Linked DNA regions of Xenopus tropicalis. The protein of the gene in region 1 purifies or fractionates together with the protein of each later gene. This does not show direct contact. Links are inferred from orthologs where the notes say so. Each region holds a gene or a part of one and is shown in the gene's direction. Other genes may lie near its edges. The genes, in order: kcnq1 and akap9.

Evidence for each region.
Region 2: the proteins of kcnq1 (region 1) and akap9 purify together in Homo sapiens (affinity purification with western blotting; 3 studies listed by BioGRID and IntAct, with this or other methods). This does not show direct contact. The link is inferred for Xenopus tropicalis from reciprocal best matches to the Homo sapiens genes KCNQ1 and AKAP9.

The regions. Positions count from the first base shown.
Region 1 is NC_030680.2:25,059,039-25,068,346, forward strand, and holds part of kcnq1 (potassium voltage-gated channel subfamily KQT member 1), read left to right. Parts: intron 1-3,830; coding exon 3,831-3,971; intron 3,972-4,524; coding exon 4,525-4,635; intron 4,636-5,306; coding exon 5,307-5,402; intron 5,403-6,950; coding exon 6,951-7,073; intron 7,074-8,594; coding exon 8,595-8,733; intron 8,734-9,308. UniProt on the Homo sapiens protein: Pore-forming subunit of the voltage-gated potassium (Kv) channel involved in the regulation of cardiomyocyte excitability and important in normal development and functions of myocardium, inner ear, stomach and colon.
Region 2 is NC_030682.2:31,555,282-31,564,589, forward strand, and holds part of akap9 (A-kinase anchor protein 9), read left to right. Parts: intron 1-1,253; coding exon 1,254-1,486; intron 1,487-2,065; coding exon 2,066-2,185; intron 2,186-4,392; coding exon 4,393-4,569; intron 4,570-5,298; coding exon 5,299-5,403; intron 5,404-5,973; coding exon 5,974-6,126; intron 6,127-6,933; coding exon 6,934-7,098; intron 7,099-7,450; coding exon 7,451-9,308. UniProt on the Homo sapiens protein: Scaffolding protein that assembles several protein kinases and phosphatases on the centrosome and Golgi apparatus. Required to maintain the integrity of the Golgi apparatus. Required for microtubule nucleation at the cis-side of the Golgi apparatus.

The DNA.
Region 1 (9,308 bases):
ATAGGGCTCAATGGCACTCTGCAGCTCCAACCCGGCCCAAGGAAAGTCTCCCATAGGGCTCAATGGCACTCTGCAGCTCCAACCTGGCCCAAGGAAAGCCTCCCATAGGGCTCAATGGCACTCTGCAGCTCCAACCTGGCCCAAGGAAAGCCTCCCATAGGGCTCAATGGCACTCTGCAGCTCCAACCCGGCCCAAGGAAAGTCTCCCATAGGGCTCAATGGCACTCTGCAGCTCCAACCCGGCCCAAGGAAAGCCTCCCATAGGGCTCAATGGCACTCTGCAGCTCCAACCCGGCCCAAGGAAAGTCTCCCATAGGGCTCAATGGCACTCTGCAGCTCCAACCCGGCCCAAGGAAAGTCTCCCATAGGGCTCAATGGCACTCTGCAGCTCCAACCCGGCCCAAGGAAAGTCTCCCATAGGGCTCAATGGCACTCTGCAGCTCCAACCCGGCCCAAGGAAAGTCTCCCATAGGACTCAATGGCACTCTGCAGCTCCAACCCGGCCCAAGGAAAGCCTCCCATAGGACTCAATGGCACTCTGCAGCTCCAACCCGGCCCAAGGAAAGCCTCCCATAGGGCTCAATGGCACTCTGCAGCTCCAACCTGGCCCAAGGAAAGCCTCCCATAGGACTCAATGGCACTCTGCAGCTCCAACCCGGCCCAAGGAAAGTCTCCCATAGGGCTCAATGGCACTCTGCAGCTCCAACCTGGCCCAAGGAAAGTCTCCCATAGGGCTCAATGGCACTCTGCAGCTCCAACCCGGCCCAAGGAAAGTCTCCCATAGGGCTCAATGGCACTCTGCAGCTCCAACCTGGCCCAAGGAAAGTCTCCCATAGGGCTCAATGGCACTCTGCAGCTCCAACCTGGCCCAAGGAAAGTCTCCCATAGGGCTCACTGGCACTCTGCAGCTCCAACCTGGCCCAAGGAAAGTCTCCCATAGGGCTCAATGGCACTCTGCAGCTCCAACCCGGCCCAAGGAAAGTCTCCCATAGGACTCAATGGCACTCTGCAGCTCCAACCTGGCCCAAGGAAAGCCTCCCATAGGGCTCAATGGCACTCTGCAGCTCCAACCCGGCCCAAGGAAAGTCTCCCATAGGGCTCAATGGCACTCTGCAGCTCCAACCCGGCCCAAGGAAAGTCTCCCATAGGGCTCACTGGCACTCTGCAGCTCCAACCTGGCCCAAGGAAAGTCTCCCATAGGGCTCAATGGCACTCTGCAGCTCCAACCCGGCCCAAGGAAAGTCTCCCATAGGGCTCAATGGCACTCTGCAGCTCCAACCCGGCCCAAGGAAAGTCTCCCACAGGGCTCAATGGCACTCTGCAGCTCCAACCTGGCCCAAGGAAAGTCTCCCATAGGGCTCAATGGCACTCTGCAGCTCCAACCCGGCCCAAGGAAAGTCTCCCATAGGGCTCAATGGCACTCTGCAGCTCCAACCTGGCCCAAGGAAAGTCTCCCATAGGGCTCAATGGCACCCTGCAGCTCCAACCTGGCCCAAGAAAAGTCACCATGCTGAAGCTTGAATGAATCCGAACACTACGAAAAAATCGCAACATTTTGTGCAACTTTCGGAATGGCTACGAAAAAGGCGCGATAATTTTCCGAAAAAATCGGCAAATACCGATCATTACGAAAAAAACGCAATCGGACGCATTCGGCCGGTTCGTGAGTAAGTAAATGGGCTCCATAGAGTGTCAGCTTTTTGTCCGAAAACATAGGAAATGGTGGGAGCGCTGCTCCCACATTTACTATATAAAATCTTGTAGATCCACAACACAACAGTATTTATCATTTATCTTTGTAAGTTAGAGGCCAGTTTCACTGAGGTTGTCATGATGCCTCTACTGACTCCAATGCACTTATAACTGGTTCACAGAAAGAAAAACTCAGAGGCTGCCTCTGGTACATATTGATCAGCCAATGACCTCTCAGATGTGCTGAGAAAGTTGAATAACCAGCATGATTTCTAGAATGGGGGTTCTGACCCATATTGGCCTTGCGTGCCAATACAGCGAGAGCTGTTAATCCAGAAGCTTGGTATAAGCAGTCTAACATACTTTATGAATTCATTAATTTTTCAAAAGTGCTCAGAGGAGCCCTAGGACATGTTAAGTCATTTTTAAGGTTTATGAGTTTTTGAACTAGGGTCTTAAAGGACATGTAAACCCCCCCACAAAAAATGTGATTAGTGAACAGCCTCTTTGCAATCTTTAAATACCCACCACTCCTGTTGTTAAAAGGTTAATAGTAAGGCTGCAGCATCCCCTTAATCACTTGGGATTCTTTCTCCTCCTCTAACCCGCTTGGGGCCCCTCCCTCAGGAATTAACTTTGGCTCCTGGCTAAATGAGCATGCTCAGTTCTTCTCAACTTAGGTTACTAAACACACCCTCCAGTCTAGCAGCCAATGAAGAGATGGCACCTCTGGTTTCCATAGAAACTGCTCTAGCTGTGCACTTTTTCTTCTAACTGAGCTCAGCTTAACCACTGCAGTGCTGAATCCGAGGAGAACATTTTATTAAAGTAAATTCTGCCTGTGTAAGCCTGCATTGTTCATTGCATGAACTTTACAGCACACATGTGCCGTTTGGTGAAAAATGGCCACCAGGTGAAAGCTGCTATGTGATGGTGCTGGCAACCAGAGGGGATGTATGCAATACAAGTGTTCTGGTTTAGGTGGGGGAGATGTGCCCAACTTATATACATAGTAGGAAAATGTAGGGTTTACATGTCCTTTAAATATGCAAGAGGCTGGGAAACCTGTCATAACTTCAACATTTTCTAAAAGGGCTTATTGTGTTATTACTATAACAATTTAGGGTTTTTACGGCATTTTATTTAGCCTTGGAGAAGAATTTGTTTTTATGTTTCTCCTTTCCTGGACAGGAAGATCCAATAAACTATGGCAGGAAGTGGAAATTTAGTGGGAATGTGCTCTACCAAGTTAACTCCATACCACTAGTGACATTATTTTACTAGTGTCATGGCTAACACTCTAATAGTGAGTGTGTATAATGTGTATTTCTATAGCACTCCCTTACCTCATGTTGCCAAGATTATTTATTAACATTGCACACAAACATCACTGATGATGTGGCCCATAGCAACCAATCAGATCTTTGCTTTTGTTTTCTAACTTGTAGATGACTGTTCAAATCCAATAGCGGATTGGTTGCTATGGGCAACATCACTGGTGATGTCTGTCCCCAGTGTTAATAAAGACACCCCTTTATCTCTATCGTGGAACGCTGTAACTGCATCACAATGCACTGATGGTTTTGACCGGTGCTTGTTCTATAATATGTGGCAGTCAAGAGCCATATGCAAGACCCCAAAAATCTTAATGATTGGAGATGGCACCTCCAGCGTCTCCAGAGCGGTAGCAACATTACACCAGGAAAGTGGTATATATTGATTTACCCAGCACACAGTTTTGGGGCTCCTCTGCACATTGTTTCACCAGCAATCCCCCCACCTCCCCCTAAATACGTATGCAATGGTCACAGGAAGGAGACTGGGGGGTGTTGTTGCCTACCTGGCTCCTTTCTTTCCTGGTCCACCCCCCCACAGTCATGGGATCTGCTGTACAGTAACGACACCAGTGCGCCAATGAAATGGCACAATTTAGAAGGGTTCTAGGGTTTCATGCAGATGGTGATAATGTTTGGAAGCACAAAACAAAGAATCATTCTCCACCTTTTTCGGACCTGATGCCAACAAGCCACTGACATTGTACCAGATGTCTCCATAAGAGGCACCAGATAATCAACTTTATGAATTTTGCACCAATCAGTGTATGCCATTTTATTCTCTCTCTCTCTTTTGGATTCCAGGAACTGATAACGACGTTGTACATTGGATTTCTGGGCTTGATCTTCTCATCCTATTTTGTTTATCTTGCCGAAAAAGATGCTATTGATAGTTCCGGTGAATACCAGTTTGGCAGTTATGCCGATGCACTTTGGTGGGGAGTGGTGAGTAGCCTGCTTACCTAATGAAGCCTAATCATATAGACATGGCGGCCGTAGGATCCTGCTGTATGGGAGCTGCCAATAAACTGAATTGTTAGGGGGCAAAAAATTTAAGTTTTGATATTCTCTATGGAGATATGCTCTATGGAGCCCAATAGAACATCAACCCTTATGGTTTAAAATGCATCTTTTGGTTTCAGTAGTGAAACCAAAACTGCACCACGGGTACATAGTAGCACAGCAGGGTTTGCACGTGCCATCTCAGTCCTGTTTGGGCCCTCTTCACTGTGATAGCCGCCACTTAGCACAGGCTGTTATAGCAAGGCCGAATCAGCTTCAATTGGTGCAAGTTGGCGCCCACCAACCCTGCTGTGCTTCCCTGCTTTTTGATAGCCTGGTAAAGCAATAGCTGCTTTTTTTTAGTCTTTGTGGTGTTCTTAGGGTGTTGTTCTCTATCTTTGGATATGATTGGTTACTATGTGTGCAATTTATTATATAAGCCCCACAGTTTTTACTGGTTTGCCTCCTGCATATTAACACCAGTTTCTTTTATTAGGTGACAGTTACAACTATTGGATATGGAGACAAAGTTCCTCAGACGTGGATTGGGAAAACCATTGCTTCCTGCTTCTCAGTCTTTGCCATTTCTTTCTTTGCCTTACCGGCGGTATGTACCTGTTCCTGGACATCCCCAGTTAGTATCTAGTCCTTATAGGAAATCAGCCCCTCAAATAGAAGGGAAAGCAGACGCACCCACGCTACTTAAACATTGCTCTTCTGATCCCTTCTGCAATTAGTGTTTTTCTCTTTTAGTTTTCATGATATCGGCTGTTTAACAATAGTAGGGGTAGTGTCCCCTCAGCAGTTCCCAAGACTGCAAAGCTGCTCCTATAGCAAAGAACAATAAAATCTGTTTATCCCCTTACAACCCTAGGTTGGTGCGGCCGTTGTGCTCTGCCAGAGCTCAGACATGAGAACAGCACAGCAGAGATTCAAGGCTAAAAATATATAAGGTCATGGTGTAGATGCCAAGCATATCTTTGATGATTAGGACTGTCGTAAATACAGAAGGGAAGCAGAGCGGAGAAGCAATTTCGAAATATCCATTTTCGACCATAAATACAAACAGCAGAGTAACTGAAAAACAATAGCGCCTTTGATAATATTTCTAGGAAAGTCACTTTGCATAGGTTTATCCAAAGGCTAGTGTAACTGGTGCTGAGCTGTATAGCTCCGTTTCTAATCCCTGTAGTTAGGAGAGTAATGGCTCTGTGTATATGCTTTCTTTTCCCTTTGCTAAGGCAACTCATTTCCATGTTTTTCCTGTTTTGTATATAGGGGATCCTTGGTTCTGGTTTTGCCTTAAAAGTGCAACAGAAACAGAGACAGAAGCACTTTAATCGTCAGATCCCAGCAGCCGCATCTCTCATTCAGGTAGAAATCATGTTTTCAGTGAAAAAATGAACTAGTGCAATTTTGGATGTAGTTCTATATGTTTTTTTTACCCAATATGCAGTATTTGTCACCCATAGAGAGGGGGAGTTGGTGTCTGAAGCATTTGCACCCAATGCCCTGCTGTACCTTCACATTGACACAAATTGCACGAGTCTGGATGGTATTATTTCCATCACTAAAAAGTGGCACATGTGCATTATTCTTTGGGGCAAATTTGCTGCATTATTCAGTAGCAATCTGGAATTACTGCCAGCTTGAAGGTGGCACTAGCTCTAGGGTACCCATGTCAAAAGGGAAACACACAGTGGGGTACAGGGGTTACTGCATTTTGGGGCCCCATGGCAGAGGGGGTCACCTTAGGGCAGTGATCCCAACCAGTGGCTCGGGGGCAACATGTTGCTCCCCAACCCCTTGGATGTTGCTCTCAGTGCCCCCAAACCAGGTAGTTATTTTTGAATTCCTGACTTGGGGCCAAGTTTTAGTTGAATAAAAACAAGATTTACCAAATAAAGCCAGGGGGCTGATAGGGTGCATAGAGGCTGTCTAATAGCCAATCACAGCCCTTATTTGGCACCTCCATGAACTTTTATGGTGCTTGTGTTGCTCTCCAAGTCTATTTACATTTGACTGTGGCTCACGAGTAAGAAAGGTTGGGGACCCCTGCCTTAGGGCTCAAAGCTTGTCCCAGGACCACCAATTATGCCTTATGCCGCCAGTCGCTGCACAGGTTCTAAAACAGAGGAATTATTTGGGTAGATATGGTGTAATATCTATGAAACAAATTAAGAGTTTCCATAAGGCACAATATAATTCCCTTCCTCTACCATTTCTTTGTGTTTAGGGCTTTCCCCAGACCTTTCTCTCATTTCTTTATATAGTGAAGCTTTCCTCCACTCTGCAGCTCAAGTTGGAGTAAATAATTTATATTGTTCTTTTATTAAAGTGGATCTGTTTTGTAAATAGTTTCCAGGCATGTGTAGGTGATCTATCTGTTGCCAGTAGCTGGTGGCTGGATTATGCTAACTGCATAGCCTGCTAATGTTCTCCTTGAGGGATATTATATTTCTGGGTAAGCTTGTTGCCTTGCATTAGCTTAACCAGCATCCATCATTTGAGAGGGGGAATCATCATTGATGGTTGGGTTGCAAATTGTGTTTGGTTCTGACACTTGTCCAAAGGCTTTGTAGGGACATTGGCGCCAGTATTTATGTCTATACCCACCCACAAAGTGGGACTTGAAAACATCTTGCTGTCCTGAAGTACTGGACCAAATCTGGATGGGCAGGGTCCCAATATAATATAAGATCACAGATAATGTGACCATTTTTATACAATTAATTTTCCCTTTTCAGGAGACTTTCCTTCATTCCCATTTCTACAGTTTTTTGTTAATCGCTTCATGTAAAGGGAGGTCATTTTATTTCTCTCTCCTTCTTGTCATCAGGAGGCATCATGGGAACAATGTCCATTCTGTAATCAAACAGCTGTATTAGTGGCTTTCCGGTAATTTTATGTCCTGTGTTTCAGACAGCGTGGCGGTGCTACGCAGCGGAAAATCCTGATTCGGCAACATGGAAAATCTACATTCGGAAACAGTCGCGAAATCATCATATTTTGTCGCCCAGCCCGAAGCCCAAGAAATCCGCCATGGTACTGGTATAAATAGTTCTTATCTTGTTTCTGTCTGTTAAGGTGGCCATACACGGACCGATTTTTTACTTACAAACGACCGATTCCCGAACGATCCGATGCTATCGTTAAGTTATCGTATAGTTGGTGGTGTACGAACGATCGTCGGCCCACTAAACGAGCCGACATTATCGTCCCCAAAATCGATCGGCCAGGTTTAAAAATTTTGGTCGTTTAACGATAAAATCTGCCAGTTGGTGTGAGTGTCAGACATTTGTCTTTCAACGATTGTTCTCTGCGCATGTCACGATTGCCAGCAACGACATCGATCGTACGTAGATGTACGATCGTAGGTATCTTACGATAATGATGCGACAAAATCTTTCCCGAATTATCGTTGCCCGTGGATGGCATATCGTATGGGAACTCGATCGCCATACGATCGTTTGTCGATATAATCGTTCATCGCACAACGAGCGAAATCGCCTCGTGTATGGCCACCTTTAGTCTGTCTAGTAATTGCTTGGCTCCAGGCTGGGGAGTGCCAGACAAGTAATAGAGAGCCCTGCACTTGTATTTATGGTAGGGACCTTGGGCCTCACAACCCTTGCTTCTTGCACCTAATTATTATCCGTGCATGGCACAGAGGGCAGATGGCACCCACCCATGGGTGGAATTGAACATACCTGTACTTCAGAAAATGAGCTGGTACAGGTATTGTTATCCAGAATTCTCGGGACCAAGGGTATTCCAGATAAGGGGTATTTCCGTAATTTGGATCTCCATACCTTAAGTCTACTAAAAAAAATCAATAAAACATTAATTAAACCCAATAGGATTGTTTTGCATCCAATAAGGATTAATTATATCTTAGTTGGGATCAAGTACAGGTACTGTTTTATTATTACAGAGAAAAGGGAATCATTTAACCATTAAATAAACCCAATAGGGCTGTTCTGCCCCAATAAGGGGTAATTATATCTTAGTTGGGATCAAGTACAGGTACTGTTTTATTATTACAGAGAAAAGGGAATCATTTAACCATTAAATAAACCCAATAGGGCTGTTCTGCCCCAATAAGGGGTAATTATATCTTAGTTGGGATCAAGTACAGGTACTGTTTTATTATTACAGAGAAAAGGGAATCATTTAACCATTAAATAAACCCAATAGGGCTGTTCTGCCCCAATAAGGGGTAATTATATCTTAGTTGGGATCAAGTACAAGGTACTGTTTTATTATTACAGAGAAAAGGGAATCATTTAACCATTAAATAAACCCAATAGGACTGTTCTGCCCCCAATAAGGGGTAATTATATCTTAGTTGGGATCAGTTACAAGGTACTGTTTTATTATTACAGAGAAAAAAGAAAGCAGTTTTTAAATTCTGAATTATTTGATTAAAATGGAGTCTATGGGAGACTGGCTTTCCGTAATTCGGAGCTTTCTAGATAACGGATTTCCAGATAAGGGATCCCATACCTGTATATATATAATCTAGTATGGGTGCTATCTATGATGTCTTTTTGTCATCAATTCTAGGTTAAAAAGAAAAAAATTCGTACAGATAGAGAGGAAGGCTCTACAGACAAAATGCTAAACATTCCGAATATTACCTACGATCACGTAGCCGACGATAGAAAGAATGATGGGTATTCAGTGGAGGCATATGAGAATACAGGTAAGTAATTGGCTGCTATTGGGTGGGTTTCCCTTGGGTACTCCGGTTCCCTCCCATACTACAGAACCATACAGACCCTAGTGTATGTAAATGTGACCTTAGATTGTAAGCTCCATGGTCGAGGGACTAATATGATCATGTATAATAATAATCTATGATTTGTCCATTACAAGTTCCAACAAAATGGACAAATGTTTATCCAGCTGTGTTTCACATCCACATTTGTGGGCATTGCATTGTGTCAAGAAGCATGAGATGGTTAGCTGCATCCCATGGGAGACACTTTTACTGGAAAATAGTAGAAACTGTCATCTCATTGGAGAACAGAACGATTTAAAGGGGAAAAGGATGCAGAGGAAATGATACATTTTTTTTTGTTATGCATCAAGCAGGGTGTGACTCTTCCTTTCTGACACATGAAGGCTATAATAGGCTCTCTAGGTGTAGATGTAGCTCAGGAAATGCTAATTCTGTTGGTATGTTTTTATATTGCCTCAGACCAACAAGGCTGTGTTGATGGACATCACTGTGACATACATATAGGATGGCTGCCAGTGAATCTGTATTGGGAGCCA
Region 2 (9,308 bases), on another chromosome or scaffold:
TCAGCAGAATAAATATGTAATACAGTTAATGAAAAAGTTATTGTAAAGTAATATTTTGTTAATGTAATAGTTGCAGTGACATTTTTTGCCAGATCTGGTTACTGGAAAATATTTCCCATAGGGTAGCCATAGAGTATATATCGAAATTGCAAAACCCCCTATTTATATTCGTAAAACCGCCTTTATTTTACATATGGCACAGACACAGCAACGTTTTGGACCTCCCGGTCCTTTCTCAAGCTTTTTTCTTTTTCGTTTTGTTAGCTTGAGAAAGGACCAGGAGGTCCAAAACGTTGCTGTGTCTGTGCCATATGTAAAATAAAGGCGTTTTATGCTTATGAAATGGGAGTGTTGCAATTTCGATATATTGAGGTCTAAAGGTATGTGGAGGTGAACATATGATGCTGCATGCACCCCTCTGATAAACTTCCCACGTGTGCTGGAAACCTATTGTATTCAGCCATAGAGTATATTTGTGCTGCAGATAATGCAGTAAGATATGGAAAGCAGTATCTTGTGAACAAATTAGCTCCCCAAAGTAAAGCTGGCTGTACAGTGAAAGATCCACGTGTTTAGCATGGTTGCCAAATGAGCGGATTTTTTCCCTGATATGCCCACCTTGATATCGGATTGATATGCATGTTTAGCCCGATGTAGGCCGTCGGGGCAAATACTTCACCAACAAGCAAATGGTGTTCCTCATCCTGATGGGATTTGATTTTTGGCCAGAATTCAGTCAGGAAGGCACCTGCCGGCATCTTTTATTGGCTCTTGTATGGCCACCTTTACTCATTTAAAAGTGTTACAACTCCTTCAAGTAATTTTATATAATCTTATAAGATATCACATAGCTGCATAACTAGTGGTAGAAGCTGTAGTGGTAAACCTTTTATATAAGGTCTTGGGTAAGCTTTTCTAACTAGTGATGCGGTATATAAGTACTAGCAAAAGGCCAGTTTAAATAATTAGCGCTGTTAATTTTCTACTTTAGGTATATGTTGGTGCTTTATAAAGCAGTGATAGTATTTGTAACCTTTCATGCAAAACAGAACACTGCATAAAACAAAGTCTGTGTTCAAATATTATCACAGAGACCTTTCCTGCAATACACATAAAGTTCTGATATATCAATCAAATCCAATATATTTCCTTAGCCTGATGAGAGCTTTCCAGTGGGGCATTTATGATGGCTTGGAAAGGCAACACCAAAGCAATCCAGCTAACTTCTTTCTGGGGACCTTTTGTATAAACAGAGTTGATAGAGGAAACTGAGAAACTGCTAAAGGAGAAGATAGAGGTGCAACGTCAAGCAGAAAAGGACTCAGGGGACCTTTACAAACAGGTCAAAGTGCTGGAAACAGAACTGGAAGAACAGATGAGCCGGAACCTGGAAATAGAGCAAGAAAAGAATTCAGATCTAGAAGACCTCCAACAAAAGAATCTGTCCTTGGAAAAACAGCTTGAAAAGACCCGCAAATTTTTAGATGTAAGTTATAAAGAGGGGCTAAATCAACATAGCATACTGGTTAAAAGTGTTAACACTTTCCAACAATAGGGGTCATTGATGAACACAGTGCAGTGTGCAAAGGCAGTTTTCGTACACACAGCACCATTTTTTTACCCACAATGCAGAATGATTCCAGAGTAATTGCAGCTGCACCACAACAAATTCTGTTTTTCTGTGAGTATTTGCAAGCCGGAATTTCCTTTATGTTCAGGATGGCAGGTCCGGTCTCCTTAGCGTCCATAGCCACAATTTCACAAGATTCAGTTGAAGTGTCAGGAAAGACATAGCAATGCAAGGAGCAAGTAATGAATGTGTCAATTTTTGTGCAACCGCACTTGCAGCTGCATTTGTAAATTACAGTGACTGAAAATTTGCATTTGCCATGTCCACACAATTTTTTAGTCCTGTTTGTTGATTGTTTGTGCTTTCTGTTGGCCACACAGTTGTCAAAATGTGGGATGGCCATGAGGCGATGGCCCTTACATTGGTGATAGAATGTGCCTCCAGTGGTACCATTCCTGCGGCTCTTACAGTGCTGTTATGAATTTTCTGTTCCAGGAGCAGGCAGTGGATCGAGAGCATGAAAGAGATGTTTTTCAGCAGGAAATCCTGAAACTTGAGCAGCAACTTAAAATGCCTCAAAGGCACCAGCCTGTTACAGATCATCAAAGCAATGCGGTAAAAACAAAAGAATTCACAGTTCATGTATAAAAGAAGGCAAATCTACCTGTGAATATGGTTTTACCTTATTTTTCCCCAGTGTACCATAAATAAGTCTTACGTTACATTAGGTCAGTGGTATTCCTGCGGTTCTTGTTTTTATTTACTGCTGCAGATTAAAGGTGCTTTGCTCTGTTGTACAGGTATAGGGCCTGTTATCTAGAATGCTCAGGACTTGGGGTTTTCCAGATAAGGATCTTTACATAATTTGTATCTCCATACCTTATGAAGTCTGTGGGAGACAGCCTTCCTATAATTTGGATAAAAGATCCCATACCTGTATAATTAGCTTTTTTTAAAGACTAGTTCTTTTTATTGAACATCAGTCTGTCCAGTGTCAAGTCAGAGGCAGCTGGAAAATACCATCAAGCTTACCACGTTTTGTACAGTAACAGCTGGCAGTGTGCTTGATACAGTAGTACAGTGCTGTCCAACTGGCGGCCCGCGGGCCGCATGCGGCCCGCGACCCCCCTCTGTGTGGCCCCCCACCTGTCTGGCTGCTTTGATGGCTTACCTTTGAGTAAGCATTAAATGGTAACAGTACTGAGATTAACTGGCCCCCTGCATGGTTTTCACCTCAGATTCAGGCTGTAATCCCCCTGTATTGTTTAAAAATGTAATCCCCTGTGTTTTTCACACCTTTTAATACCTGCATGGTTCACCCCCTGCAGTGTTCACACCTCAGGCTCAGGCTGTAATCACTCCCATTGTTCACTTCTTCACACCTCAGACATAGGTACTGTAGGCAGAGTATGGCACATACAGCCAGCATAGGGCAGGTAGAGTATGGCACACACAGGCAGCATAGGTCAGGGAGGGTATGGCACACATAGGAAGGGTAGGGCAGGCAGAGTATGGCACACACAGTCAGGGTAGGGCAGACAGAGTATGGTACACAGAGGCAGCATAGAGAAGGCAGAGTATGGCACACATAGGCAGGGTAGGACAGGCAGAGTATGGCACACACAGACAGCGTAGGACAGGCAGAGTGCTGCCTGTGTGTGCCATACTCTGCTTGCTCTATGCTGCTTGTGGGAGGTGAACCTGGCAGGGGTTTGTTGTGGGAGTTTGTTAGCAGTTGGAAATAGCCATTAAATGGTCCCTAAGGTGTGTAATTATGTACTGGGGGTTGCTCTGCTATCCACAGGGGAGGAGGAGGCATATGGAATTTAAGGGTATATCTTAATATGACATAATTCTTTCACATATGAATGATGGTTGATATCCCCACAGTAAGGACCAAGCATTTGGGATTTTGCTGTGTTACCACCATTGTGATAAAATAGGTGTGGTTTGAAGTGGGTGTGGTTTCAAAAAGGGGAGTGGTCAAAACTGGCTTCCATTAGCGGCCCTCCACCATGTATGCTAGAGAAATTCCGGCCCTCGGCACCGTAGAAGTTGGACAGCACTGCAGTAGTACATTGGGTCCTGTGCCTATAATCATGTTCCCAGTGAAAATATCTGAATCATCTGTACCTATAGAAGAAGCTGGGAAAATACAAATTAATTTGTCAAGAAATATAAGAAAGGTCACTTTGACACACCCACCTCTGTTTTTATGTATTTATCCGATAGCACCTGTTGATCCAGTGCTCCTTTGTTTCCCTTATTGTGCATTTTTATAATGTTTGCAATAGGCCTTCTTTTTTTGTGGTTTTTCAGTTATTTAGCTTTTTGTTCAGCAGCTCTTCAGTTTGGTATTTCGGCAGCTATCTGGTTGCTAATGTCTTAATTACCCAAGAAACCAGCCAGTAATTTGAATGAGAGATGGAATATGAATAGTTAAAGGACTGAGTACAAAGATAAGCAGTAAAAGTAACAATAACGATAGAATTTTAGCCTCAGAGAACAATAGTTTTAAGTCTGCTGCTGTCAGTGACCCCCCTCTGAAAGCTAAAAAAAGGCAGAAAAGGAAGGTAAATAATTAAAAAAATAAAACTATAAAAATAAATGATGACCAATTGCAAAGTTGCTAGGAATAGGACATTCTATAATATACTAAGTGAATCGCCCCATTAAATATTAAAGTATTCCTTTGGATCTGTGTACATTGTGCCATAACTCACACGTTTAATTATACAAATAGATGCATCCACCAATGTACGAATGTACAATTTAAGAGGTATTTTTGGTTGATTTTTTTTTTTAAATTTTTTTAAAAAAAGCTTGAAAAACTGGAAACTAACCTAAAGGAAAAGACAGACAAATGCAATGAACTGCTGCTCTGCAAAGAACAGTTCCAGCGGGATATTCAAGAAAGGAATGAAGAGATTGAGAAGCTGGAGTGTCGGATCAGGGAACTGGAGCAGGCCTTGCTCATCAGTGATGATACCCTTAAGAAGGTGAGTTAATTTACTTGTGACCTTCTCCCTACCTTAATATGTGATAATGGCTAGATAGGTGCATACACACGCAAAATGAAAAAGGATCCTCCACACCCAATTATCTTGTTGTATCTTGTGTCTGTGGTGCTTGGATCCAATATTTGTTAAGTAAGCATTAGCTTTACAAATGGAGGCGCAAAACTTGCCATAAACTAACTGATATTATCGTATGAAACCTTGTTTAGTACGATATTCGGTGTGTGTGTATAGTGGATCGATGAGCCGACCTGTATTGCAAAGGCTGCAAATATCGGTCGTCTCGACGATCGGCTGAGTTAAAAAGGCGGCCGAGCAAAGTCTGCGTTTAGGGCTGAATCGGCAGGTGAAGGTAGAATCCCTACTTCTACCTCCATGTCTGACAATTTAGCCCTGAACTTTAACATGTACATGTATGGCCACCTTTAGGCACAGCACCAGTGAAGATTCATGTAACGGGTGTGTGTGTTTTTAGGAATAGAATAGGATTACCCCACCCCCTAAATGTTGTTACTCACTCTCTGTAGATAAATAAATAAATTCAGAAATGGACTGGCAATCTGTTGATTCTGGCAAATACCAGAATAGGTTACACAAACTATCTGTAATGCTTTTTGATGTGATTTTTGTGTGCTGATTTAGGGATGGACGAGGGATGAAAAGTTAAATACTAAATAAACAAGTCTAAGTAATATGTACATTTTCTTGAAGGTGGAGCTCAGAAGACAGTCCATCGTCATTAGTTCCAAAGGAGAAATACCTCTAGAAGCACAACTCCAAGTGGAGCGTGACGCAATAGATCGAAAAGAAAAAGAGGTGCGAATTCCCTTAATTAAAAAAGACATTGAGACCTTTTTATTAATAGTTTATCTTAATTGTCTACAATTTTTTTCCTACATGCAATTTGCATTAGGGAGCAAGGATTTGGAAAGTGAAAGTAGCGATGGTTGCTACCAACCAATAGAACAGGATGATAAATTAGCCACACAGGTTGACTGACTTTTCTATATGGCAGTACCTTCAAATTAAGTCTTTTCAAAAATGCTTTATGACCTATTGCTACAATAGATACTGAATCGAAACATTTGGAAATATTGATTGATCCTATGATTGCTAGAATGCAAATGTTGAGAAGGGCTTTTTTCACCTTTTGAGAGGTGTCAAAATTTCTCTGCTGCAGAAAAATGTACACAGGGTGCAGTGAAACAGTGCCAGATATTACAAACTTATTATGTGAGTGGTAGGATTTTTGCTTGTCCTCCCAAAATAAATGAAACCGACAGCTTTCGGATCTGGACAAACCCTTCCTTTGTATCCCATTATAAATAATGTTTGCCTTTTGTTCTTGCATTCTTACATACAACTTTCCATGTGCTTGTCTCACAGATCACAAACCTAGAAGAACAGCTGGAACAGTTCCGAGAAGAACTGGAAAACAAGAATGAAGAAGTACAGCAGCTCCATATGCAGCTAGAAATTCAGAGAAAAGAATCTTCTACCCGGTTACTGGAGCTGGAACAGGAAAATAAAGTGCTCAAGGTGAACAAAAAGGACAACAACAGTATTCGTCTATGTTCTTTGTACTGCCCTGCAAGAGGCTACAGTTTTAAAAAGAACCTCTTCTGTACACAATATCACTCACAACAACAGCTATAACTAACAGAATAACAGAAATATTTATTGAGATAATTTGACTTTCATTAAATAGGCAGTAGCTCTCAATATCCCTCCATGGTCCAGCCCTTTGTTAGCAAGTAACCAAATGTGGCACCTAATCGGGAACAGTGTGCCATACGTGGTGCTGCCAACTCTGTTAGTGCTGGGCTTGTGTCTTAATGTAAAGCTTAAGAGACTTTTGAGTTTCACCACCATATGTCTAAGGCTGTATATATTACACACAAAAAAAATTGTTTGCTCTGGGCAATGGTGTTTGAGAGATCCTTGTCACCTATCACTTCATTGCTTCAATCAGAGTAACTCTGTATTACTAAAACACTGCACTTTGGGTTGTCACTCACAAATGTAGAGGCAAATAAGTATGTTCCAATAATGGAATTCCTTGTCTTTGGAGCTAGAAATGGCTGATGTGCTGCATAATTGTGAGACATTTCCAGATGAGGTTTCAACCACTCAGTTGTTAAAATTCTTAATGCATAAATATAATAGCCTTATTGGAATCAGGAAAGGACTTGGGCTATATTGGCTTAAGCCTTATTAGTTTTTTTTCTGCACTGAAAATCTGAATGGTAATTTAAAATATTAAGGTATATTTCTTAGTTGAAAAGATGATACCCAAAATTTACTGCACTTATCTAAAATGCTAATTGTTGTTTGCATTTGTTGAAGGATGAAAATGTAGATCATGATAATCAAAGCTCTGCTATAAAGACCCATCACATGAAACCAGAAGAGTTTGAAGACATTCTGTTTTTGAAAGAACAAGAAATTGATCAGCTGAATGAGCATGTGGGGAGGCTGCAGGCACAACTTGAGACCGCAACAGATAACAAAGTAAATTTGTTTCTTTTTTTTAGATGAGTTTACATACATTTTCCATGGAAATATATAAAAAAAACATGTATTGGAGACTGTAAATGCACATACCGTAGTACTGGGGGCACTCTGATTTAGAGGAAGATCCTCATATATATTAATAAAAAAAAAAACAGAAATGTTCTAGTTGTTAGTCATAGTTACCTCATAGTCACCTTAAATCTTTACATGAGGGCTATTTATTTATTATTAACATTTATTTATAAAGCGCCAACATATTCCGCAGCGCTGTAAGGCTATTCACTGAATGTATTATTACAGGTATTTCCTTTTCTTGTTTTAAATTGCTTCATTTTTGTATGTTTTACAGACTATCGAAGATAAAAATAATCAAATTAAAGAATATAAGAGCCAAATAAAATGCTTAAAAAGTGACCAAGAACGTCTTAAGAGGAACAGTGAAGAAGAGATAGAAAAACTTAATGAAGTCATTGAGAAACTTCAAGATGAATTAGCAAGTATAGACAACAAAGTGTCAGTGGACGTTACCAGCATGACAGAAGATGCAGATAGTAGTAAGCACCAGCTGGAAACCATTATGGCAGAAAAAGATTTGCTACAGAAGAAGGTGGAGCTCAGTGATACAGAACTGGCCATTACAAGAACTGCACTTGAGGAAACCAGAACTGAAATAGAGCTGCTAAAAACAGAATTAAAAAGTGTGAGAGAAGGCCAAATAGCTAGTAAACAAGTATATGAAGAATGTAATAATGTTACATTGGAATTCAGAAATGATAAGGAGGAAGAGGCAGAAGCCACATCAGAGCCTTTAGAAAATTCTCTACTTTATGTTCAGCATGAGGCTATGCAGGATACTATTCATGGCTTGGAGTCAAAGCTGCAGGAACTTAAGCAAACTATAAAAGAAAAGGACATAGAGCTGCTGCAATATTATGATAAAGTTAAGCTAGTAGAAGAACAGAGCCAAGTCATAGATCAACTAAATCAAGTGATAAGAAAACTTCAGGAAGAAAGTACTGCTGCAGATTCAGTCTTTAATAGCATAGAAGTCTCTGATATTTCAGAATGCCAAAATAAAACCACATTGGCCGAAGAAATGTCTTTAAGTAGTGAAAGTGCTAGTAGTAAACACGAGCTACTAAACACTGAGCTGGAGGAAACGCAAGCAGAATTGAAATCACTGAAAGAAGAGTTAGAAAAACTTAAACAGTCTCCAGAAAACGCAAATGCAAAATGGGAAGGTAAAGCTAAGTATGATATTAAGAAACTTGAGAATGCATTAAGAGAAAAGACTGCTGAACTCTTGGCAAGTCAGGCTCTGCTCAGTTCTGTGCAGGATACTGTGCAAAGCACTATACAGAACTTAGAGTCTCAAGTACAGAATTTGCAGAAGATTGTTGAAGAAAAGGATTCAGAACTTTTACAATATGCAGTTCAAAAGCAACTTTTAGAAAAGCAAGCAGTAGAGCTTGAACAGCTGAATGGGGTAATTGAAAGTCTTCATCAAAAACTTTCTAAAGCAAAACAAATTAAGTCACCAGAGAAGGTGGAAAGAGCCAAAGACCTTGTAACAGATAAGATGCAAAAGGAAAACAGAATTTTGCAAACAGCAGAATTAAATGGGGAGGAGACCGCCTTTGTAAAGATAGAATTAGAGAATGCAAAGGAAGAGATTAAACACTTGAGAGGTGAGTTGGACAGACTGCAAGCATCTCTTTTTAAGAGTGAGGAGGCATTAAGTGAAAAGGCTGTTCAACCTCTGGAAAATCAAGCTTTGTCTGCTTCTGCAGAAGAGGCCATGCAGAGAGCCATGAAAAACATGGAGTCCCAGTTACAAGGACTTCAGATAGATTTTGACAGAAAAGACTTAGAACTTCTACAGTGTTCAAATGAAATTGAGTTGCTTGAGGAGCAAGTAAAGACTGAACGAAATCGCCATGATGAAGTCATGTTAGCTATGGAAAACACACTAAGGGAAAAGGTGGCTGCAGCTTTGGTGAGTGAAGCTCAAGTGAAAGCTATCCAGCTCATGCAGAAGACTGAGGATTCTTACATTCTGCAAGAAGAGTCCAAAGGAACTCAGACTTCAAAATCTCATGAAGAAGAAGTAGCAGAGTCCAACTTATCTGCTCTATCATTAAGGCTTTTACAGCTAGAGAAGCAGTTATCAGACCTACACGAAGAACTGCAGGTGGAACGAGAGCGTG